Astyanax mexicanus: one gene and its partner. The protein of the gene in region 1 interacts with the protein of each later gene in a biochemical or structural test. Links are inferred from orthologs where the notes say so. Each region holds a gene or a part of one and is shown in the gene's direction. Other genes may lie near its edges.

Region 1 (8,026 bases):
CTCATTTACTGCTCTCTCTATAGCTCTCTCTCTCATCCTTCAGCTCTCTCTGTCTCTCTCTCTCTCTCTCTTTCTCTCATTTTTCATCTCCCAGCTCTCGTTTGCTGCTTTCTCTATAGCTCTCTCTCTCATTCTTCATCTACCAACTTTTATTTACTGTTTTCTCTCAGCTCTTGTTTACTGCTCTTTGTGTTTCTCTGTTTCTCATCTTTCATCTCTCAATTCTTCTTTTCTGCTCCTTTTCTCTTTCTCTCATCCTGTCTCTATCAGCTCTTTTTTACTTCTCTTTCACTTCTCTCATACTTCATCTCTCAGCTCTCGTTTCATCTCTTACATCTCATTTTCTAGCTCTCTTTTTCTCATCCTTCAGCTGTCTCGCTCTCTCTTACTTCCTGTCCCAGCTTTTTTTTTTACTGCTCGCCCTATAGCTCTCTCTCTCATCCTTCATTTATCAGCTCTCATTTACTGCTCTCTCTGTCATTTCTCATATCTTTTACTGCTCAGTCTTCCTTCATCTCTTAGCTGTTTTTACTGCTCTTCCTCTCTCATTTCTCATTTCCCAGCTCTCTTGCTCTCTCATTTTTCATTTCACGTTCTCTCTCTCGCGCTCATTTCTCTTCTCCCAGCTCTCTTTCTCTCTCTTTCTTGCTGTCCTTCTCTCATCCTTCACCTCTCTTTCTCTTTCTCTCCTGCTTTCATTTCTCATCTCCCAGCTCTCTTGCTCTCTCATTCCTTATCTATCTGTTTCTTGCTGTCTCTTTCTCATCCTTCGTCTCCCAATTCTTTATACCGATCTTTCTCTTTCTCTTCTGCTCTAATTTCTCATCTCACAACTGTCCTGCTCTCTCATTCATCTCTCTTTCTTGCTGTCTCATCCTTTATCTTTCAGCTCTCGTTTACTGCTCTTTCTCTTTAATGCTGTCTCTGTATTTTCATTCTTTATCTCCAAGCTCTCCATCTTACAGCTCCCCTTCTCTCTCTCACTCCACTCCCCCTTTCTCTCTTTCCTCTCATTGTCTTTCTCTCAGCTCTCTCTCTCTCTCTCTCTCTCTCTCTCTCTCTCTCTTAGTATATCTATCTTAGTTCTTTATCTCACTCTGTACAGGAACAAAGTGGAGTGAAATTCCATTTCATCAGGATCGTGGTGCAACAAGAACAAAAAAATCGTTACAAACGACATGAAATCAAACATTCAAACATATGCTAGAACAATACAATAAAAATATAAATACTATAAATACAGCAGACAGTGGGCACAGTAAACAGATGGGACAGTGCAGCGCAGACACAGCACTCTTTACTGAATGTGTGTGGTGAGGATAAGGTGTGGAGTTATGTAATGTGTTAAGACATAAATACATGCAGTCTGATTATAACATACTCTCACTGATATAAAAACAAAAAAACGCAGGTGTGGTCTGATTAGGCACTGGGTCTCGCCATGAGAGGATCTAAAATCTTTCACTTACTACCCTACAAAAAGGCTCTCAGAGGCTTCTTTTGGGTTGTGCACACAGGGACACACTGGCACAGCTGATGATGCAACGAGAGCTTTGTGCAGCATCTACAAGCCCAGCTGCAACATCTCAGAACCTGAATGCCTCCATGCCCAATCATATCTCATCTTGTATCCAGGCTAGATGTGGCCTGGTCTGTTGAGAAGTGTGATGGTCTGTGGGCAGAAGCTGTTACAATGCCTGTCAGTGATGGCTCAGATGCTCTTGTACCTTCTCTTAGATAGCACTAATAAAAAAAAGTGTAAATGATGGGTGGGGTGATCCACAAATCTGGTAGCAAATGCAGCACATGATATAAATATCCGTGATGGAGGAAAAAGATACCTGAATAATGTTATCAACTGTACTCACTATCAGCTGTAGGTTAGATGTTACTATTTCTAAACCAAACGGTCTTTTTGTTTCTTTCTTTTTCTCACTCAATGTCTCTTCATTCCACATCTATTCTCTCATTCTATGCCCAACTCAATATTCTCTCTTCTAGTTTCCTCCTCCATCTCTCTCTCTCTTCTTGTCTTCTATTTATTTTTTAACTCTTTTCCCCTGCATCCATTTTGCTCTCTCTTCCTCTATTTATTTCTTACTCTCTGATCTCTTTCTCCACTCTCTCACCCTGCTCAGTATCGTCTCTCCTTACCCACTTTCTCTCTCTTTTCTCTTATTAAATCCTGTTTAATTTTCTCCGTATCATTCTTTTCATTAATACTTTTCACCTGCCTCTATTCTGCTCTCCCTTCCTCCTTTTCTCACTCTTCCTCTGATCCCTTTCTTTGCTCTCTCTTTTCTTTGCCGTCTTTACTGCTCAGACTTGTCTCTCCTTACCCACTTTTCTTCTCTTTTCTCCTATTAAATCCTCTCTCTCTTTTCTCGTATTAAATTCTCTCTCTCTCTCTCTCTCTCTCTGAACCCTGTATATAGATTACATACTTCATAATGAAGCTTTATCTGCAGATTCCCACACTATGTGTGTTTCTCTCTATCTCTCTCTCTTTCTATCAGTGTTTTTCTGAAATGAGTTGTTAAAGCATTTTTACTGGCTTTAACCTGGAGCACTCTCTCTATTCTCTCTCTATACTCTCACTTCTCTTCTCCTCCTTTCTCACTTGTGTTTTTTGTCCTCTATCTTTCTGTTTTCTTTCTTTCTGTCACACTATCACAATCCTTTCTCATCTTTCCCTCTTTTTTATTCTCTTTCATCTTTCTGTCTCTTCTGCTGGTGATTCCTCTGCTGTTCTCCCTGTTTCTTTCTCTTCCTCACTCGCTCTCTCTTCAATCCATGTCTCTTATCCTTTTTTTCTCTCCTCTTTCTACTTTCTGTCCATCATTCTGTGTCCCACACAATGTTCCCTCTCGTTTTTTTCATCCTCCATCTCCTCTCTTTCTTTCTCTCTGTTTTCTGTCCTAATGTTCTTTTGTTACTGGTACAGTCTTCTCCTTGTCTTTAACTCTTTTCCTCTGCCTTCATTCTGCTCTTCCTTCCTGCTTTTCTTACTCTTTTTCTACTGTAATCACTTCATCCACTCCTTTGCTTTCTTCTCTACTCAGACTTGTTTCTCTTAACCTATTTTTCTTTCTTTTCTCATATTAAATACTCTCTCCTCCTTGTCTTCTCTTTTTCTTTAACTCTTTTCTGCCTCTATTCTGCTCTCCCTTCCACCTTTTTTCACTCTTTTCACCTCTGATCCCTTCTTCCACTCTCTCACTCCTTTGCTTTCTTCACTGCTCAGACTTGTTTTCTTAACCCATTTTCTCTCTTTTTTTCAAAATACATCTCTTTCTCTTTTTCTCTCTCCTTGTCTTCTCTTTCTCTTTTCCCTCTTTAACTCTTTCGCTCTCTTTTCTCATACTAAACCATTTCTCTCTCCTAAGTGTCTTCTCTTTCTCTTTAACTCTTTTCCAGTGCCTCTATTCTGCTCTCCCTTCCTTCTTATCTCACACTTTCTCTGATCCCTTTATCCACTCTTTCACTCATTTGTTTATTTAATAGGAGAAAACAGAGAGAAAATGGGTTGAGGAACAAGTCTGAGCAGTGAAAAAAGCTAAGGAGTAAGATAGTGGATGAAGTGATCAGAGGAAGAAAGAAAAAAGGTGGACGAGAGAGCACAATAGAGGCAGGGTTAAAGAGAGTTAAAGAGAAAGAGAAGACAAGGAGAGAAGATTTAATAAGAGAAAAGAGAGAGAAAATGGGTTGAGAATCAAGTCTGAGCAGTGAAGAAAGCAAATGAGTGAAAGAGTGGATAAAGGGATCCTATTAAATAAACTCTCTCTCTATCTCTCCTTCTTCTTTAACTCTTTCTCCCTCTTTTCTCACATTAAATCCCCTCTCTCTCTCTTTCTCTCTTTTTTTGAACCCTCCATATTAATTAGACTTGAATTCATAATGAGGCTTCATCTGCAGATTCCCACAGTGTGTAGGTGTGTGAGTGTGAGTATGTGTGTGAGGGTATGTTTCTCTTTATTTCTCTTTATTTCTGTCTGTTTCTATCAGTGTTCTCTGGAATGAATTGTAAAAGCATTTATTCTGCCTTCTCGCTCAGCCTGGGCGTGGAGCGCATCCAGCCTGCTGCACTCTCTCTCTATCTCTTTCTTTCTCTCTCTCTCTCTCTTTCTCTCAGCTCTGTGAGAGACAACATTTCCCCTCCACAGCCTGGAGTCTCAACTCCATAAAACATCAAAGACAGAGAGAAGAAGCGAGCGAGAAAAGAGAGAGAGAAAGAGAGGGAGCTTTGCCTTGCATTGAAGCTCTGGCAGAGTGGATACAGAGAAAGATAGAGAAAGAGTGCAAGGGAGGAAGAGAGGGAGGCAGGGAGAGAAAGAGAGAGAGGACTGGAGGAGGAGGAGGAGGAGGAGGAAGAAGAGGAGGGGCGGGCAGGCGGGAGAGTGAGCGAGCGAGCGAGCGATAGAGGGAGCGAACGGATGAGAGGAGAGCCGAAGCAGCCAACCAGCTTAGAGAGACTGAGAGATCAGGGCTGTTTGAACGATTGAGAGAGAGAGAGAGGGAGGGAAGGAGGGGAGGAGAGAGAGAGCGAGCGTGCGAGAGAGAGAGAGAGAGATAGAAGTGTTACTATAGCCACGGCCACTGGATCGCTGACCGCCAGTGGAGGATAATATCCATCCCTCGCTCTCTGGACTGTCACTAAGATGTAATTTGCAGAGCTCCCATTGTTGCCGCGGCGACTTCCTTTCATCCATTTCCTTTTTCCTCCCTTCCCTTCTTTTTTTTGTTTTATCTGTTCTCCAGTCTCTCTCCACTCTCTCTTTTAGTGTCTCTCTACCTTTTTTATTTTTCTTCCTTTTTTTTCCTGCTGCTGCTGCCGGATTTTTTTTTTCTGTCCTTCGCCTTGTGCTGTCTCTCGGAAAGGAGGGATTTGTGAACATAGACGATTCTCTGCTGCAGCAAGACAGTAAGTAAGCTTGGCTGTATTGCAGCGAGTGTGTGAATGTGTGTGTGTGTGAGAGAGAGAGAGAGAGAGAGAGAGAGAGAGAGAGATGTACACACACACGAAAATGTGGCTGGAAGTGTGTGGACTCAAGCATTGAAAGCATCAAGATATTGAAAGGGAGGAAACCGGTCGAGGCTCTTGAAAGTGGCTGCAGAAACCTGATTGGTCTTTGAGTACTTCCCCTGTTTCTCTTGGTGTGTGTGTGTGTGTGTGTTTTGCCTCTGCAGAGCAGCAGGTGAGCTGAACACACATGTGGAGAGTGTTTTACTGTACAGATGTACAGATGTTTACCTTTGAACCCAAAGAAGAAGGGATGCTCACAGATCTTCAATTAACTAGGTGGAAAGATGCACAAGCAATGGGTGTGTGTATCTGGTCTCTGTATGTGTGAGTGTAAAATGGTGGTACACACACACACACAAGCTTACACATACACATACACACACAGGAAAGCAGGAAGAAGGAGAGAGAGAAAGAGAGAGAGAGAGATGCAGTCTCTTCTGTCACTCTTGCGAACGCACTCCCACCCAACCACACACTGGCAAGCGTGTAGACTCACTCACCCAGCAACACCCACTGACTGATCTATTAGCACGGCAGCCCTCACACACACACACACACACACACATGCTCAAATACATTCCACCAGTCTGCCTCACACACACTCTGATCCACTCCAACAGCTTCAACTTCTACACTATACAGTGCGTCCACATATTTCTGGACACGCCTTCTAACAAATGCATTCAGCTACTCCAACTAATGAAAGTTACCCAGGTGTGGAGGAGATACACATGAACCCGTTAGCGCCATGCCTAATGCCAGGTGTAGGCTAAAGGGGTGTAGAAAAAGCTGCCTAGCTTCCTTGAGATAATGATGGTGCTTCGCCCAATACAGTACTGTTGGGATGAGTTGGGTTGAGGGGGGATAAGCTGTGGTTAGAGATGAGGCTCTGAACATCGCTCTGAACATCGCTGAAAGCAATCAGATCCTCAAACAGCAATTCCTCAAAATTTAGTAAAAAAGGCAAAAGTCTTCTATGTACAGTAATAGACTCAATTACTACTCAATTACTCGATTAATACCCATGATTTTAGAAAGAAAAAAAAAGACAATGAACAATGAGCCGGTTTCCACATAGTTTTGTACTTTTTTGTATAGTGTGATGCATGGCTAATTGTTTTGAATTGTGTCTTGCATTATTACTTCAGCATGAAAGGGCGGGGCTAAATTACATTTGCATGTCCTATTAATTGGGAGGAGAATGACGAGAGGGAAGAGAATGCAGTACTTTGGTCTGGAATTCAGGCAGCTTATGCTTGTTGTAGGAAGCCAGTCCCCACCTCTAATAAGTGGAGTTGAGTCAGGAAGGAGAGATAACTAAGAGTTAATGGGAGGAGATGGAGGGTTTTGAGGACTTGCCATGATCATGTAAGCAAGTATTGTGTATTTATAGGATGCTAGATTGGGAAACTGAGTAGATAGATTAAAAAGTCTTGTAAAAAAAATTGGACCAACACCAGCAGATGACATGTCTCTCCAAACCATCACTGATTGTGGAAACTTCACACTAGACCTCAAGCAGTTTGGACTGTGTGTCTCTCCACTCTTCCTCCAGACTCTGCTTCCTTGATTTACGAATGAAATGTAAAATTTACTGATGATCAGTGATGGTTTGGAGAGGCATGTCATCTGCTGGTGTTGGTCCACTGTGTTCTATCAAGTCCATCAAGTCAGTGCAGCGTTTTACCGGAAAATGTTTTAGCACTTCATGCTTCCTACTGCTGACAACTTTTATGGAGAAAAGATGGCAACCTGTGGAGAATGATTGGTGAGTGAGAGATGAGGACATGCCCAATATGCAAATAGTGTGACCAACACTCAACACTCGTTCAACTAAAGAGTCAAAATGAGCAGGTGCAATGTACTTGGTCTGGCCTCAACAAGGGTTTAAATACAATTTGTTAATTTTGCCAACACATGTGATTTTAGTCAGAAGAAATAAAATCACATCAAGAAAAACAATTTTAAGAGAGGTCTCCAACAATCCTAAAGTTCCATACATGGGACCTACAGGTAGCTAATGCCACATTTGATGGCAAAGCACAGCATCTACCACCTGAACGAGGGCAATGAAAGCTATTCCATCTAAGTGGAACCAACAGAAGAGCAGATTTTTGAAGATTACAGAATGAATACATAAGAACACACAGTGCAGACCAGTCAGATTGCCCATGATAGGCCCTACTGTCCAGACACACATATGTCTGAATTGGATCTGGATGATGAGTTACACAGGCACCACTTACCTGCAGGAGGTGCTGGATGCACATCAGATCTGTAGTTGATCCACTTTACAACTTCTAGGATTGTAATGTCTTGGTGCCAGATACCACAGTACACACTGAGCTGTTTTAGTAGCAAGCAGTTGACCATTGACAATATATGGCAGTGCCAATGGTTCATATATTAGGCAGCAAGTGAACAATCAGTTCTAGAATGAGTCCTGAGATAGAATGCAAAATTAGATATTGAATATAATAATTAAAAAGTTAGGTTGTCAGCTCACGTCTTGTAGAATTAAGATCCTGCTCTGTATGGATGGCAGATAGAAGGTGGAGCTTACCTCTTAGGCGGATCATCCACGAGGCATTGGGTGGATAAAGAAAGGAGGGAAAATGAAATTTTGCATCTAAAAGCAGCAGAAAGAATGTGTAAGTCATATTTTTTTTAGCCAGATGGAAGCTGGTGATTGGTTGGGGAATCAATTACGTAGCATTGAAGTCTCCTGGTAGCAGCAACTCAGCTCTGATACATCAGCTCACAGACGCCTCGTGCTGATCTACATCACCCTTTCGAGTGATGTGAGGAGAGAGCGCCATCAACTCACCCAGAGAGAGCAAGGCCAATTGTGCTCTCTCAGGGCTCCAGCAGCTGATGGCAAGCTGCATGATCAGGATTCGAACCAGCAATCTCTCTCTATCATTGTGGCAGCGCTTAGCCTTCTAGACCACTCGGAGCCCCCGTATCTGTGACACTTTTGACCGGATCTCAAAAGCATCTCCA
Region 2 (8,031 bases), on another chromosome or scaffold:
TTAATCTAACCAGCACAGCACCATCCATCTGTTATTAAACCCCACAACCTACTAATCTAACCAGTACAGCACCATCCATCTGTTATCAAACCCCACAACCTACTAATCTAACCAGCACAGCTCCAGCCATCTGTTATCAAACCCCAGAACCTACTAATCTAACCAGCACAGCTCCATCCATCTGTTATCAAACCCCAGAACCTACTAATCTAACCAGCACAGCTCCATCCATCTGTTATCAACCCCCAGAACCTACTAATCTAACCAGCACAGCTCCATCCATCTGTTATCAACCCCCAGAACCTACTAATCTAACCAGCACAGCTCCATCCATCTGTTATCAACCCCCAGAACCTACTAATCTAACCAGCACAGCTCCATCCATCTGTTATCAACCCCCAGAACCTACTAATCTAACCAGCACAGCTCCATCCATCTGTTATCAACCCCCAGCACCTACTAATCTAACCAGCACAGTACCATCTATCTGTTATTAAACCCCAGAATCTACTAATCTAACCAGCACAGCACCATCCATCTGTTATCAAACCCCAGAATCTACTAATCTAACCAGCACAGCTCCATCCATCTGTTATCAAACCCCACAACCTACTAATCTAACCAGCACAGCTCCATCCATCTGTTATTAAACCCCAGAATCTACTAATCTAACCAGCACAGCACCATCCATCTGTTATTAAACCCCAGAATCTACTAATCTAACCAGCACAGCACCATCCATCTGTTATTAAACCCCACAACCTACTAATCTAACCAGCACAGCTCCATCCATCTGTTATTAAACCCCAGAATCTACTAATCTAACCAGCACAGCTCCATCCATCTGTTATTAAACCCCACAACCTACTAATCTAACCAGCACAGCTCCATCCATCTGTTATTAAACCTCAGAACCTACTCATCTAACCAGCACAGCACCATCCATCTGTTATCAAACCCCAGAACCTACTAATCTAACCAGCATAGCTCCATCCATCTTTTATCAAACCCCAGAAACTACTAATCTAACCAGCACATCTCCATCCATTTGTTATCAAACCCCAGAACCTACTAATCTAATCAGCATAGCTCCATCCATTTGTTATCAAACCCCAGAACCTACTAATCTAACCAGCACATCTCCATCCATTTGTTATCAAACCCCAGAACCTACTAATCTAACCAGCACAGCTCCATCCATCTGTTATCAAACCCCAGAACCTACTAATCTAACCAGCACAGCACCATCCATCTGTTATCAAACCCCAGAACCTACTAATCTAACCAGCACAGAACAATCCATCTGTTATTAAACCCCAGAACCTACTAATATAACCAGCACAGCTCCATCCATCTGTTATTAAACCCCACAACCTACTAATCTAACCAGCACAGCACCATCCATCTGTTATTAAACCCCACAACCTACTAATCTAACCAGCACAGCACCATCCATCTGTTATTAAACCCCACAACCTATTAATCTAACCAGCACAGCTCCATCCATCTGTTATTAAACCCCAGAATCTACTAATCTAACCAGCACAGCACCATCCATCTGTTATCAAACCCCAGAATCTACTAATCTAACCAGCACAGCTCCATCCATCTGTTATCAAACCCCACAACCTACTAATCTAACCAGCACAGCACCATCCATCTGTTATTAAACCCCACAACCTACTAATCTAACCAGCACAGCTCCATCCATCTGTTATTAAACCCCAGAACCTACTAATCTAACCAGCACAGAACAATCCATCTGTTATCAAACCCCAGAACCTATTAATCTAACCAGCACAGCACCATCCATCTGTTATTAAACCCCACAACCTACTAATCTAACCAGTACAGCACCATCCATCTGTTATCAAACCCCACAACCTACTAATCTAACCAGCACAGCTCCATCCATCTGTTATCAAACCCCAGAACCTACTAATCTAACCAGCACAGCTCCATCCATCTGTTATCAAACCCCAGAACCTACTAATCTAACCAGCACAGCTCCATCCATCTGTTATCAACCCCCAGAACCTACTAATCTAACCAGCACAGCTCCATCCATCTGTTATCAACCCCCAGAACCTACTAATCTAACCAGCACAGCTCCATCCATCTGTTATCAACCCCCAGAACCTACTAATCTAACCAGCACAGCTCCATCCATCTGTTATCAACCCCCAGAACCTACTAATCTAACCAGCACAGCTCCATCCATCTGTTATCAACCCCCAGCACCTACTAATCTAACCAGCACAGTACCATCTATCTGTTATTAAACCCCAGAATCTACTAATCTAACCAGCACAGCACCATCCATCTGTTATCAAACCCCAGAATCTACTAATCTAACCAGCACAGCTCCATCCATCTGTTATCAAACCCCACAACCTACTAATCTAACCAGCACAGCTCCATCCATCTGTTATTAAACCCCAGAATCTACTAATCTAACCAGCACAGCACCATCCATCTGTTATTAAACCCCAGAATCTACTAATCTAACCAGCACAGCACCATCCATCTGTTATTAAACCCCACAACCTACTAATCTAACCAGCACAGCTCCATCCATCTGTTATTAAACCCCAGAATCTACTAATCTAACCAGCACAGCTCCATCCATCTGTTATTAAACCCCACAACCTACTAATCTAACCAGCACAGCTCCATCCATCTGTTATTAAACCTCAGAACCTACTCATCTAACCAGCACAGCACCATCCATCTGTTATCAAACCCCAGAACCTACTAATCTAACCAGCATAGCTCCATCCATCTTTTATCAAACCCCAGAAACTACTAATCTAACCAGCACATCTCCATCCATTTGTTATCAAACCCCAGAACCTACTAATCTAATCAGCATAGCTCCATCCATTTGTTATCAAACCCCAGAACCTACTAATCTAACCAGCACATCTCCATCCATTTGTTATCAAACCCCAGAACCTACTAATCTAACCAGCACAGCTCCATCCATCTGTTATCAAACCCCAGAACCTACTAATCTAACCAGCACAGCACCATCCATCTGTTATCAAACCCCAGAACCTACTAATCTAACCAGCACAGAACAATCCATCTGTTATTAAACCCCAGAACCTACTAATATAACCAGCACAGCTCCATCCATCTGTTATTAAACCCCACAACCTACTAATCTAACCAGCAGAGCACCATCCATCTGTTATTAAACCCCACAACCTACTAATCTAACCAGCACAGCACCATCCATCTGTTATTAAACCCCACAACCTATTAATCTAACCAGCACAGCTCCATCCATCTGTTATTAAACCCCAGAATCTACTAATCTAACCAGCACAGCACCATCCATCTGTTATCAAACCCCAGAATCTACTAATCTAACCAGCACAGCTCCATCCATCTGTTATCAAACCCCACAACCTACTAATCTAACCAGCACAGCACCATCCATCTGTTATTAAACCCCACAACCTACTAATCTAACCAGCACAGCTCCATCCATCTGTTATTAAACCCCAGAACCTACTAATCTAACCAGCACAGAACAATCCATCTGTTATCAAACCCCAGAACCTACTAATCTAACCAGCACAGTACCATCTATCTGTTATTAAACCCCACAACCTACTAATGCACTGTTTGTCTATACAGATCTACTATAAATGTCACTAAAATGTCCTAACAACAACTTATTTTTTTTTGCTCCTTTGTTGAATTAGTGTTATTATTTAGTATTCAATGTTTGATTTATTTTGAATAATAATATTTAATAATAATTAATGAATAACATTTTATATAAATAAATAGTTTTAATTAAACATTTCATTATAAACAATACTATTATTTTTATTTAGGACAGAAAAAATAAGTTTCGTACTGTTTAATTAAAAATACAATTGATTACTACTCATTTTATTAATTTTGTATAGTTTTATTAACGAATTAATTAATTACCATTGTTAATTTTACATCCAGTGGGGTATAAAATAAAGGTCTTTGCGAAAATTTGAATTTTATTATAAGAAAATTGGTCTTATATGTGCTTATTTTCTGAAACAGTAGATCAATATTCTACACTTTTATACACAGTCACATAATCTACCACCTGACTGAAATTAAGGAGGAACAGAAGATCTGAGAACATCATTTCTGAGCACAAGGTGGCAGAATAACATCTTCAGACAGAGAGAAGCGGATTTCTGCTCTTCTGTTCAGGCTGGTACATCACCGAATCCTTTAGGACACGTGAGGACGCAATAGAGGGCAGCAAATAAGGCATGTTTTCCGATATGTTTTTAAAACCCTCGTTGCCCTCTAGTTCTACTAGTGCTAAAAACTGATTATTACTTTTATGTAAAAAACTAGGTGAAACTTCGGCAAGTAAAAGGGATCCTCTGCACTGACTGCAAGTCATGTCATACATTGTTCTGTTGTCAATATATATATAATATACTTATATAACAATATAATATACTTTTTCGTTTATGTTTCAAATGCATTCATCTTCTTTTTACTATACCTTTTTATTTACCAATGTTAATCTTTATAATACTTAAAACATATCTTTTCAGTGTTTTTTGTGTCGTACTGGTTGTAATGGTTGTATTTTTGTTTTGAGTACATTTATATTAGCTGTAGATAATAAATATTTAGTCTAAATTGTTCAGATTTTCTTCACTAGACACTGGTGTAGGTTTGGCAGTTGGCTTGGGGCTATTCAGACTTTTTTATTACACGCTTAGAAAGTTTATACAATATACTTACACTAACACTCTTCAGTCTAGACTTCATTAATCCTTCTGTTACTAAATAGATTTGGAGCGACTTAAAGCGCGTGGTTAATATTCCGGGCGTGGCCTGATTAATATTCATGAGCGCGAGCTGACAGGCGCGCGCGCGCGGGGGGAGGAAAAAGTTCGAGTTTCCAAACTTTCCACCGAGCGGATTCTCCAGCAGCAGCAGCAGCAGCGGGACAGCGGGGCAGGAGGACCGGGCCGGATAACCTTCAAACTCTCATTTAAAACTGTTTTATTGTGTTTTTGTTTTGAGTTAAAACTTTTTTACACTAAAGACAGAAAATCACAGCAGCGCTTAGCCGCTGGGGAGAGCGCGGGTCGTGTTTTTGAGGAGAGAGCTCCAGCACTTCTTGGTTCCCCCCGTCCCAACTTTTCTGTTCCGCCGAGCGAAATGAGCAACAACCCGGTGCAGCCCCTGCCGGGCCAGCAGGTCATCCATGTGGCGAAGGACCCGGACACGGACCTGGAGGCGCTGTTTAACGCGGTCATGAACCCGAGGCCGAGCTCCTGGAGGAAGAAACACATGCCCGAGTCCTTCTTCAGGGAGCCGGACTCGGGCTCCCACTCCCGACAGTCCAGCACGGACTCGGGCAGCGGGCCGGCGCGGCTGCCGGTGCAGCACGTCCGCTCGCACTCCTCCCCGGCCAGCCTGCAGCTCGGCCCGGGCACGGGGACCGGAGCGGTCCCGCCCTCTGCGCACCACGTCCACATCCGCCACCAGTCCTTCGATGTGACCGAGGAGCTGCCCCTGCCCCCCGGCTGGGAGATGGCCTTCACTTCCAACGGCCAGAAATACTTTCTCAAGTAAGTACAGCTTAACTGATAGGCAAAGAACGTTAAATAGACGTTAAATCTTTGTTTGCATTACAGCTTGATGAGTTGATCATGGATAACTACATTTAAACAAACTTTATTTAACTTTCATCAATAGGTTTATTCAACATCATCAATAGGTTAGCTAGTTTTTCTACACTCACACTAAGCTACTATTAATAATATAATTGTTGCTACTTAAATGCACCTTTCTACACTTCAGCAGTAAAAATAATAGAAAAGTATTTTATCTCAAGTAATTTCAGACTTAAACACAAAGAACGTTTAGTAAAAACGTTCGCATCTCAACTTCTAGTGCTGATGATGGAAAAACAACATTAAAACAACCTTTTGTTTACGTTTGCACCATAGGCTTCAACAACAGGTTGGGTAGTGTTGGAATTCTGACGTTGAGGGAACGTTCATTTTAACAGCTAAAGTTTTGTAGGGTTTGGGCTGAGCTCTTCTACACTCACAATTAGCCCAGTGTTAAATGCATTTAGGCAAAATGTCCCTTTCTGCTCTGCAGTGTAGATTTAAGTAAAGTTTAACACGAACAACAGATTTAGAATCATAACGTTGAATTAGGGCTGGGTGATATTGTAAAAAAAAAAGTTCTTAGATAATTTAGTTTTTTTGTTTGTAAACAGGCAGCACCATGTAAGGTGACACAAAAGAAAGCTATTGTTTCCTTTAGATTCGTAAAAAAATCACTGCCACATTTAAGATAGAAGCAAGTCTATCTGAAATAAAATTGAAATATGAACGTTGATTCAGCATACTTTTGCTATCTGGCTACTGTTGTGTGATTGGAAACTTGAGCCTTAGCAACAGCTTAATGAGTTCTAGCAGCTTAGGGGGGGAGAGATTTGGCAACCTGTGGGGCCTAAAAACAAAACCTCAGGAGAACTGTACAGTGATTTACAGTGATTTACTTCATAACTAAAATGTAATTTGACCATCCTTGCTGCTGCCACATGTAGAAGACCTGTTCCATTTAGGTCTGCCTCACTTTTGTGGTTAATAGGGTTACAACTAATGATTATTTTAGTGGTTGAATAATCAGTCAATTATTTTTCAGATTACTCAAATAGTAAACGATTATTTCTGCTGCCCCATTCATCTCTGCTTCCTGTGGGTACGGCTCCTGTTCCTTGCTTTCTCTATCACTTCAAAACAATAGAAACCGCTGAATGTGGGATTTAGATGCTCTTTAAATGTTCAGATGATGTTTAAAGATGAAAAGTTTTGATGTTTACTCACTATGTATGTAATCTGTTGTGTTAAGTCACTTTTGGTGACTAAACTAAGTGTGAACCAAGTGAGTGAGCAGCACTTAACCTCCCCGTGTTTTTGTGTTCCTGTCCCCAGTATTTTGTATAGTGCATTTGTTACAAATTAGTTGAGATTTGAAATGTGAAATTCTTATAATCAACATTGTTGATTTTGTCATCTAACCATTGCTGGCAACTGAAAAGCTCAGAAGTGCTGTACTGTGATTTACTTTGCATTGTAATTTGCCACACATAGTCAGCTGTTCCACATTTAGGTTTCACTAGTGTTGTTAACACAGTTGCCCCAAATCTCCCCTTCTTTCTCCAGGGGAGAATGATGGGTGATGTTTAGGATTGAAACAGTAGTAATAAATAATATACACTCATGTCAGCTATAAGTTTGATTGAAGATCTGTGGTGTGCCCACGCAACAACCTAAGGACCTCAAATTCCGATTATTTCCGATGACGTGATTTCCGATTTCCAGTTCTCATGAGACTGGAGACTGTTTTTTCATGAAACAGTAAACTATTAAATCTGGTAGAAGTTTCACTCAAAGCCTCTATCACTGCAGTAAGGCAGCTGGTGGGTTCAGTTTGGTGAGTTTCTAAGTTGAATGAAACTACCTTAACGTTCTTTTGTCCTTTGGTGTTGTTGTAGTTTCTTGCTGATTTCTGGTCAGGTAGGCATGTCAGATAGAATCAGATCAAATAGATTTATATAGCATTTATTTGTGTTTACAACTAACACTGTAACAAAGCGGCTTTAAAAGTATACAGTATTAGGACAAAAGATCAATACTGTGCATTATCAGAGGTGAAAAAGTACTGAAGAATTGTAATTAAGTAAAAGTACATTTACTTTGCTAAACTTCTACTCAAGTAAAAGTAAAAAGGTACTCAATTTAAAAAGGTACTTTGAGTAAAAGTTACATAGTTACTTTTAAGTATGTGATGTAAAAAAGTACAACAAATAATAAATTAAATCGGTTTTAATGAACTATTAATTCCACATAATAATTTGGACCTTTCAGGCAGTATTTGTTCAGACCACCCCATAAAACATTTTCAAGAACAAGTGGTATAGGTTTCTATGATCCAATTTTTTAACTGTTAAAAGGTTATGGTCATATAGGAGACTATAAACTGTATTTT

Evidence for each region. The genes of interacting proteins can lie anywhere in the genome.
Region 2: the proteins of shank1 (region 1) and wwtr1 interact in a test that uses a peptide from one of them, tested with the Homo sapiens proteins (2 studies listed by IntAct, with this or other methods). The link is inferred for Astyanax mexicanus from reciprocal best matches to the Homo sapiens genes SHANK1 and WWTR1.

Annotation. Positions count from the first base shown.
Region 1 is NC_064426.1:18,967,696-18,975,721, reverse strand, and holds the start of shank1 (SH3 and multiple ankyrin repeat domains protein 1), read left to right. Parts: upstream 1-4,541; 5' UTR 4,542-4,921; intron 4,922-8,026. UniProt on the Homo sapiens protein: Seems to be an adapter protein in the postsynaptic density (PSD) of excitatory synapses that interconnects receptors of the postsynaptic membrane including NMDA-type and metabotropic glutamate receptors via complexes with GKAP/PSD-95 and Homer, respectively, and the actin-based cytoskeleton.
Region 2 is NC_064423.1:915,696-923,726, reverse strand, and holds the start of wwtr1 (WW domain-containing transcription regulator protein 1), read left to right. Parts: upstream 1-4,914; 5' UTR 4,915-5,181; coding exon 5,182-5,594; intron 5,595-8,031. UniProt on the Homo sapiens protein: Transcriptional coactivator which acts as a downstream regulatory target in the Hippo signaling pathway that plays a pivotal role in organ size control and tumor suppression by restricting proliferation and promoting apoptosis.